Caenorhabditis elegans: one gene and its partner. Each later gene encodes a partner of the first gene's protein in a complex. Each region holds a gene or a part of one and is shown in the gene's direction. Other genes may lie near its edges.

The links. The genes of interacting proteins can lie anywhere in the genome.
Region 2: the proteins of hsp-90 (region 1) and unc-45 are in contact, whole or in part, in a crystal structure (PDB 4I2Z), measured with the Caenorhabditis elegans proteins. Residues at the interface, in NP_506626.1 of Caenorhabditis elegans: Ser696 (codon at 3,937), Arg697 (codon at 3,940), Met698 (codon at 3,943), Glu699 (codon at 3,946), Glu700 (codon at 3,949), Val701 (codon at 3,952), Asp702 (codon at 3,955); in NP_497205.1 of Caenorhabditis elegans: Arg12 (codon at 1,574), Asn16 (codon at 1,586), Val19 (codon at 1,595), Tyr31 (codon at 1,682), Val48 (codon at 1,733), Arg51 (codon at 1,742), Asn52 (codon at 1,745), Met55 (codon at 1,754), Lys59 (codon at 1,766), Val81 (codon at 1,878), Lys82 (codon at 1,881), Phe85 (codon at 1,890), Arg86 (codon at 1,893), Asn113 (codon at 1,974), Asp114 (codon at 1,977), Ile117 (codon at 3,565).

Annotation. Positions count from the first base shown.
Region 1 is NC_003283.11:14,684,466-14,689,089, forward strand, and holds hsp-90 (Heat shock protein 90), read left to right. Parts: upstream 1-1,694; 5' UTR 1,695-1,698; coding exon 1,699-1,848; intron 1,849-1,895; coding exon 1,896-2,600; intron 2,601-2,648; coding exon 2,649-3,634; intron 3,635-3,692; coding exon 3,693-3,960; 3' UTR 3,961-4,074; downstream 4,075-4,624. Other genes in the region: C47E8.4 (Protein FAM50 homolog), read right to left, coding at 1-51, 149-219, 269-340, 575-674, 728-857, 904-1,012; C47E8.11 (uncharacterized protein), read left to right, coding at 4,172-4,246, 4,294-4,455. UniProt on the Caenorhabditis elegans protein: Molecular chaperone that promotes the maturation, structural maintenance and proper regulation of specific target proteins involved for instance in cell cycle control and signal transduction. Undergoes a functional cycle that is linked to its ATPase activity.
Region 2 is NC_003281.10:490,009-494,584, forward strand, and holds the start of unc-45 (UNC-45/Cro1/She4 central domain-containing protein), read left to right. Parts: upstream 1-1,538; 5' UTR 1,539-1,540; coding exon 1,541-1,629; intron 1,630-1,680; coding exon 1,681-1,808; intron 1,809-1,854; coding exon 1,855-1,981; intron 1,982-2,398; exon of another isoform or gene 2,399-2,827; intron 2,828-3,560; coding exon 3,561-3,639; intron 3,640-3,708; coding exon 3,709-3,837; intron 3,838-4,346; coding exon 4,347-4,576.

The DNA of each region.
Region 1 (4,624 bases):
TTCTCGGCATCTTGCTTCACACGCCACTCGGCTGCCAATGATTCTTTCTTTCTGAAACCAGACTTATTATTTTTTATTTATTTGTTCACCGGGATGATCTACACCCGCCAAAATTTGAAATGTCGTTGTTTTTTCTTCTAGAACTCACTTTCTCAAGAACTCCTCTCGTTCTTTATCAGGCAGGAAGCTTGTGTCGACAGTTGGGTCCATTCCAACGCGCTGCAAACATTTTTCGCTTTAATTTTTTCTTTTTAATTATTATTCTTACCTTTTTCGGGATAATTGGTGCAGCATCTTCTTCGTCCTCTTCGTCATCAAATGCAAACGATAAAAATCGCTTCTGAAATTAGCAATATTAAAACAGTTTTTCTCGAATGTTCTACAAAAATGTTTTATATCTGCGTTTCCTCACACTCTCACCTGCCCTCAATTTTTCTTTCTCGAAAGTTCTCAAATTTTTAGAAATCTGGTATAAAAGACTCTTTCGACGAGAAATCTCTAGTCAATTGAACTACAACTGCTACCCGAGTCTAGAGCCTACAACCAAATTTCTACAGCAATCCTTCACATTTACCTGGGTATGTTTTGCAACGTGTTCTTCTTTTTCTCGAGCTTCTTGTGAATCTTTAGATTGAGTAGAAGATGATTGGTCTCCCCGGGCCACTTGTAGATCTCTATAAGGTACACATTTTTATTGTGAGGCTCTCCAAAATGTAGAAAATCGAACCTGTTTGAAATTTCGTTTTTCTGAATATTTTTCATATCATCCAATGATACCAAGCCATAGGTTTTAGACTTCACGACTTCTTCGACTGTTTCATAGTTTGCCATGAATTTATTCGTAATTCCGACCCTGCCTGCAAAATTTGTAGTTTTAATAATTAAAAAGGGGTTTCACCATACATTTTTCTTTGTCTTCTTCAAGCTTTCGCAATTGTTGTTCGATATCTTCCTTTTCACGCTCACGTTTCTTTGCCAAATGAATCAAGCGGCCTTCGTCGGCGCGGGACATTTTATTAACTGCAAAAATAAAATAAAAACCAATGAAAGCAATATTTTTCAACGAGTTCAATATTGAGAGTGACATATAGTTTATTTCGGGATTTTATTTAATATAGAATAATAATTTTAGATTTTTTTTTGGTGCAAAAATACCAAAAAAACGTCTTTTCGACGAAGTAATCTGAAAAAAATGAAGAAAAAACAATTCAAACTAAAAACAAGAAAATGTTTGTGGCCTAGTTACCTATTCTGCAAAACTTCGGCCAGGTGCTGAAAACGCGCTCTATTGACAATTTTCGTCGAGAATTTTCCGCCGAAAAGGGCAATTTGAAAACCAACCAATCAAATTGAAAGGCCACGCCCTCCTTCGAGAACATTTCGCATCTTGTTCAAAATTTAGACCTTCAATTACGCCTCAGAGCTCTGATATTCCCAGTTCTTTCGGTTTTCGGGTGAAGATTTTTGGTTTTCCTCTCACTAATATGGCTTTTATGTTAATCACGGATCATTGTTTTTGATTTTTAAAGGTTTTTGAACAATAGTTTTAGGCCTAAAATTAGTTCATTTCTAGATAAGGTTATAATGTGTTTTTAGTTTCGAAATCATTCGCCATGCGTGCTCTTTCATTCATTGAATCGTTATAAAGTTCTATTCAGTTTTTGTTGCTCGATTGTTAATTGATATTTTTCCAGAACCATGTCCGAGAACGCCGAAACCTTCGCATTCCAGGCTGAGATTGCTCAGTTGATGAGCTTGATCATCAACACTTTCTACAGTAACAAGGAAATCTACTTGCGTGAATTGATCTCAAACGCCTCCGATGCTCTTGACAAGATTCGCTACCAGGTTTGTTTTTTCGCTTCTGAGTCAATTTTTTAAAATATCGGTTTTAGGCACTCACCGAGCCATCCGAGCTTGACACTGGAAAGGAATTGTTCATCAAAATTACTCCAAACAAGGAGGAAAAGACCCTTACCATTATGGATACCGGAATCGGAATGACCAAGGCCGATCTTGTCAACAACCTTGGAACCATTGCCAAGTCTGGAACCAAGGCCTTCATGGAGGCTCTTCAAGCTGGAGCTGATATTTCCATGATTGGTCAGTTCGGAGTCGGATTCTACTCTGCTTTCCTTGTCGCCGATAAGGTTGTCGTCACATCCAAGAACAACGATGATGACAGCTATCAATGGGAGTCTTCCGCAGGAGGTTCTTTCGTCGTTCGTCCATTCAATGACCCAGAGGTCACCCGTGGAACGAAGATTGTCATGCACATCAAGGAGGATCAGATTGACTTCCTCGAGGAGCGCAAGATCAAGGAGATCGTTAAGAAGCATTCTCAGTTCATCGGATACCCAATCAAGCTTGTGGTTGAGAAGGAGCGTGAGAAGGAGGTTGAAGATGAGGAGGCTGTCGAGGCTAAGGATGAGGAGAAGAAGGAGGGAGAGGTCGAGAACGTCGCTGACGACGCTGACAAGAAGAAGACCAAGAAAATCAAGGAGAAGTACTTCGAAGACGAAGAGCTTAACAAGACCAAGCCAATCTGGACCAGAAACCCAGACGATATCTCCAACGAAGAATATGCTGAGTTCTACAAGGTATTTTTAGTTTTAATTATTTTATGGCAATAATTCCATTAATTTCAGAGCTTGTCCAATGACTGGGAAGATCATCTTGCCGTCAAGCATTTCTCCGTTGAGGGACAACTTGAATTCCGTGCTCTTCTCTTCGTCCCACAAAGAGCTCCATTTGATCTCTTCGAGAACAAGAAGAGCAAGAACTCCATCAAGCTCTACGTTCGTCGTGTCTTCATCATGGAGAACTGCGAAGAGCTCATGCCAGAATACCTTAACTTCATCAAGGGAGTCGTCGATTCTGAGGATCTTCCACTTAACATCTCTCGTGAAATGCTCCAGCAATCCAAGATCTTGAAGGTCATCCGTAAGAATCTTGTCAAGAAGTGCATGGAGCTTATCGACGAGGTTGCCGAGGACAAAGACAACTTCAAGAAGTTCTACGAGCAATTCGGAAAGAATCTCAAGCTCGGAATCCACGAGGACTCTACTAACCGCAAGAAGCTTTCCGATTTCCTTCGCTACTCTACCTCCGCTGGAGATGAGCCAACTTCCCTCAAGGAATACGTTTCCCGCATGAAGGAGAACCAAACTCAAATCTACTACATCACCGGAGAGTCCAAGGATGTTGTTGCTGCTTCAGCTTTCGTCGAGCGTGTTAAGAGCCGCGGATTCGAAGTCCTCTACATGTGCGACCCAATTGATGAGTACTGCGTCCAACAACTCAAGGAGTATGATGGAAAGAAGCTTGTCTCCGTCACCAAGGAAGGACTCGAGCTCCCAGAAACCGAGGAGGAGAAGAAGAAGTTCGAAGAGGACAAGGTTGCCTACGAAAACCTTTGCAAGGTCATCAAGGACATTTTGGAGAAGAAGGTTGAGAAGGTTGGAGTTTCTAACCGTCTTGTCTCTTCCCCATGCTGCATTGTCACTTCCGAGTACGGATGGTCCGCTAACATGGAGCGCATCATGAAAGCTCAAGCTCTTCGTGATTCCTCTACTATGGGATACATGGCCGCCAAGAAGCATCTCGAAATCAACCCAGACCACGCTATCATGAAGTAAGTTACCCAAAAACTATTTTAAAATGAACATTCACAAACGTTTTTGCTATTTCAGGACACTTCGTGATCGTGTCGAGGTCGATAAGAATGACAAGACCGTTAAGGATTTGGTTGTTCTTCTTTTCGAGACTGCTCTTCTCGCTTCCGGATTCTCCCTTGAGGAGCCACAATCTCACGCTTCCCGCATCTACAGAATGATCAAGCTTGGTCTCGATATCGGAGATGACGAAATTGAAGATTCTGCTGTTCCATCATCGTGCACCGCTGAGGCCAAGATTGAGGGAGCTGAGGAGGATGCTTCCCGCATGGAGGAGGTCGACTAAACATCCTATTTAATTTATCATTTGTTACGAGAAGATCTCCCCAAAAGCCCCTCCACAGTTTTATTCATTGTTTTCCTGTCTATCGAACCCAAATAAAGTTCCGTAATTAATTTCATCAATGTTTTTTTTTGCAAACGTGAACTTTTGAAGAAGCACATTTGAACAGTTTAGATACTCGAGGGAAATTAAACAGTTTTAGTTTATACGAAACATGATTGCAATCTTATTCGAGTTGGCATGTTTCCTGATCTTGGCCAGTGCTGTTTGCTGCATCATTCCAGAACCGGTTTATACATGAGTTGGAGATGAGTTTAATATCTTTTCATGTTTCAGGAAAAGCCATTCAATCCACCTCCACGTCCAAATTTCAATTATAACCTCTGGGATCCTGTCAATGAAGATTTCGAAGGACGCAAGTTGGATGTTCGTTGGTGGAATCCGGAAGAAGAAGATGAAGATGAAATTGTTCCAATCCCACCAAACCTTGCTGTCTAATCTCTCATTTTATTTCTAAAAATAAAAATTTTTCGATAATCGTTTTATGAACATATGCTTATTCTCTTGAAAAATCCGCTTTCCGCGCACGCAAATCTGTTGATGCGTGCTCAAATTGACATCCGTTACCATGCCAACTCTTTCCAACTGCCCTTGAGAAATTGAAAGC
Region 2 (4,576 bases), on another chromosome or scaffold:
GGAAATCTTCACATGATTTGCTCACAGTGCATGCACACAAAAAGTTATAAGATCTGAAGAGAGACGCAGACAGATTATTCAAACAGCAAGGGCTCCCACCACCGGAGAGGATCTGCGGATTCCGCCGTAATTTTACACTATCCGTCGGGGGCCGGACACTACTACACTGCCCTTTCCGCTGAACAGACGTTTCTATTCGTTTTTCATCGATTTTTGCATAAAGTTCGGGTTTAGTGGGTTTAGTAAACCTAAGAATTTCTAGGTTTTTTATGAATTTTAGGTCCTTTTTTTGAATTTATATAATTTATTTTAATGTAAATACTATGAAATTTTTATTTTGATTTTTTCCGAAAAAAAAATATCAAAAATTCCAGAAATATTTCAGCCGACCCATAGCCGCCGGGTATAGCACTAGAGCCTCACGGCAGTACATATTTATTTAGAAACTCTAGTATTCCACGTGAAAAAATATATTTAAATATACCAGAAATTTTGAAGGAGTTGACGACTACAGTACTCCTTAAAGGCACACGTTTTTCTGATTTCAAGAAAATTTATCGGTTCGTGCCGTAGTTTTTGAGAAATCCGAGTGCCGTAGTTTTTGAGAAAAAATTTTCCTTGTGGTTGCCCATATAATTATTTTCATGACGAAAATCTGAAACGATGTTTTATGGGTCTGCTAAATATTTATCATACCCAACTTTGGTCTGCTAAATATTTAGCATACCCAACTTTGGTCTGCTAAATATTTAGCATACCCAACTTTGGTCTGCTAAATATTTAGCAGACCCATTTGGGATATTGAGTTTATCCTGAAATGATGATTTCCTTTGTTTAAATCCACTCAAATTCCGTTTTTTCTCTGAAATCCTCTAATCCCCTGAAAAAAACCTAAAAATATATTTTTTTTACTATATAAATTCGGATTTTTCCAGAAACCCCACATATTTTCGACTTTTCCCGAACTTTTCCCACTCGTTATCTCTATTTCTCTTCTATTCCCTAGGATATCTCTCCCGCCTGGGAGCTTTTCGAAAGCTCCAGAGCACCTGGGCGGAGCTCCCGCGGCAACTGGATTTTTTACCGTTATTCTTCATTCATTTTTCCAGGACATTAACAAATTTTCTTGCAGTGAAAATTTTTATTTCAAAAAAAAAGAAAAGAAAGTCAATTTTAGGATGTTATACATCTCCAAAATTCGTTAGTTTTAGCTTTAAAATCAAAGTTTTCATAAAAATTAAATTTGAAATCCCTCCAAAAAATAGTCTGCGCTTCACACTCTCTAACACGTGCCGGTGGAGCGCGCTTGCATTTTTCCTTTTTTGTTAATTTTTTTTTGCGGGAAACTTTTCGGGAAAATTACTCTAAAACTCAATAAAAACAGCTTTTAAGTGCATTTTTCTTGAAAATTAGTTTCAAAAATGATATTTTAATCAGTTTTACACCATTTTTGTCGATTTTTCCTCTTTTATCCGTCGAATTAATAGTATCTCCTGACAAAAATAATGATTTTATAGTTTTTTTTTTTTGGTTTTCAGCAATGGTTGCTCGAGTACAGACTGCGGAGGAGATCCGCGACGAGGGAAATGCTGCAGTTAAGGATCAGGATTATATAAAAGCTGATGAATTGTTGGTTTTTCTGAAATTTCAGTGGAAAACTGAAATTAAACTGATTTCCAGATACACTGAAGCTCTCCAACTCACCACTGACGAAGACAAGGCTCTTCGGCCGGTTTTGTACAGAAATCGAGCAATGGCTCGGCTGAAAAGAGACGATTTTGAAGGAGCACAATCGGATTGCACGAAAGGTTTACAAAAAACCTGGAAAATTTGCTGAAAAACCTAAATTTACAGCTCTGGAATTCGACGGGGCCGATGTAAAAGCTCTCTTCAGACGATCGCTGGCTCGTGAACAGCTTGGAAATGTTGGGCCAGCTTTTCAAGACGCAAAAGAGGCTCTGAGGCTCTCGCCAAATGATAAGTGCGTGGAAAAACTAGGCGAAAACCGATGAAAATTAAAAGAAAAATAATTTTTTCTGGCACTTTCCAGTTATATTTCAAAGTTTTTATGACCAAATTTCAGTGAAAAATGCAAAAGTTGCAAATTTTGGGTCTGCTAAATATTTAGCAGACCCAACCTCCCGAAACTGATTTTTAAAGCTAAAAATTATTAGAATTTTCAGACGTTTCTCTCCGAAATATAGCATGCCAATAGAAAAATTGACAAAAATCAAGGTTTTCTCATCGAAAATAGCAAAATAACTTTTAAAAATCTACAGAAACTCACAATTTTTGTTTAAAATGCCAACATTTATAAATTTTCTAAATATTTAGTTTTAAATTTGTAATTTTCTCACTTTTTTCTGTGAAAAAATATGCAAAATGAAACTGAAAAATCCACTAAAACATGTTTAAAAATTTATCTTGAAGAAAAACGTAGGAAATTTCAAATTTGCAGCTAAAAAATCAGCGAAAAAATTTTTTTTTCAAAATTTGAGGAGGTTGGGTATGCTAAATATTTAGCAGACCCAAGGAAAAATATTTAGCAGACCAAAGATAGGTATGCTAAATACTTAGCAGACCAAAGATAGGTATGCTAAATATTTAGCAGACCAAAGAAGGGTATGCTAAATATTTAGCAGACCCAAGGTGGGTATGCTAAATATTTAGCAGACCCAAGGAAAAATATTTAGCAGACCAAAGATAGGTATGCTAAATATTTAGCAGACCAAAGATGGATATGCTAAATATTTAGCAGACCAAAGATGGGTATGCTAAATAATTAGCAGACCAAAGATGGGTATGCTAAATAATTAGCAGACCCAAAGAAAAATATTTAGCAGACCAAAGTTGGGTATGCTAAATAATTAGCAGACCAAAGTTGGGTATGCTAAATATTTAGCAGACCAAAGTTGGGTATGCTAAATATTTAGCAGACCAAAGATGGGTATGCTAAATAATTAGCAGACCAAAGTTGGGTATGCTAAATATTTAGCAGACCCAAGGAAAAATATTTAGCAGACCAAAGATGGGTATGCTAAATATTTAGCAGACCCAAGGAAAAATATTTAGCAGACCAAAGATAGGTATGCTAAACATTTAGCAGACCCAAGGAAAAATATTTAGCAGACCAAAGATAGGTATGCTAAATATTTAGCAGACCAAAGATGGATATGCTAAATATTTAGCAGACCAAAGATGGGTATGCTAAATAATTAGCAGACCCAAAGAAAAATATTTAGCAGACCAAAGATAGGTATGCTAAATATTTAGCAGACCAAAGATGGATATGCTAAATATTTAGCAGACCAAAGATGGGTATGCTAAATAATTAGCAGACCAAAGTTGGGTATGCTAAATATTTAGCAGACCCAAAGAAAAATATTTAGCAGACCAAAGATAGGTATGCTAAATATTTAGCAGACCAAAGATGGGTATGCTAAATATTTAGCAGACCAAAGTTGGGTATGCTAAATATTTAGCAGACCCAAGATTTTCTCACAATTCCACTTTTAAGCACTTAAAAATTCAATAATTTCACTCAAATTTCTATTTTTCAGAGGAATTGTTGAAGTTCTTCAGCGTCTCGTAAAAGCCAACAATGATAAGATTAAGCAGACCACTTCACTGGCTAATAAGGTTGGTTTTGTGACCTGAAACCACGAATTTTAAATGAATTTTCATTGAAAAACCCCGAAATTTTCTCAGGTAACTGACATGGAAAAGCTAGCGTTCCGTGGTGAGGCGAAGGACACCGAACAGAAAATGACTGCGTTGAACAACTTGTTGGTTTTGTGCAGAGAATCTGAATCCGGAGCAACAGGAGTTTGGAATCAGGTATAGTTTTGGAAGCTGGACGAAAAATCTACATTTACTGGGAAAATTTAATGGAACTTAAAAAAAAATTTAAAAAATGGAAATAAATTGAAAAATATACCGTATATTTGAAAAAAAAATGCAAAAAAAAACTGAATTTTCTAGATTTTCAGAGCAATTTTCAGATTGTTTTTCGAAAAATTTTGCAGTTTTTATCTAAATTTTTCCGATATTCCTTAAATTTAATTGTCGAAAGTTCAATTTTAATTTTTTTAAAGAAATTTTTTTAAACTGAAAATTGTAATTTTTTGTAGATTTTTAAAATTTATTTTGCTACAACGAGAAAACCTTAATTTTTGCCAATTTTCCGATTTTGTAGAAACATTTGAAAATTCAACTTTTTAGCTTTTAAAAAATCAGTTTAAAAAAAATTATTTTTCAAAATTTTAATTTTATCAAAGTATCCCGAATTTGAATATTTTCCTGCAAAAATACCCAAAAAAAAAATTCTAATTTTTCCATATTTCCAGGGCGCACTTGTTCCATTCGTCCTGAACCTAATCAACGACGCATCGGAAAACGAGGAGGTTACCGTAACCGCAATCCGAATTCTCGACGAGACCATCAAAAATAGCGTCAGATGCATGAAATTCCTAGCTATGCACGACCCAGATGGCCCAAAATCCGTCCGTTTTGTGTGCCGGCTAATGTGCAAAAAATCCACAAAAGACTTTGTGGATGCCACTGGAATTCTGGTGCA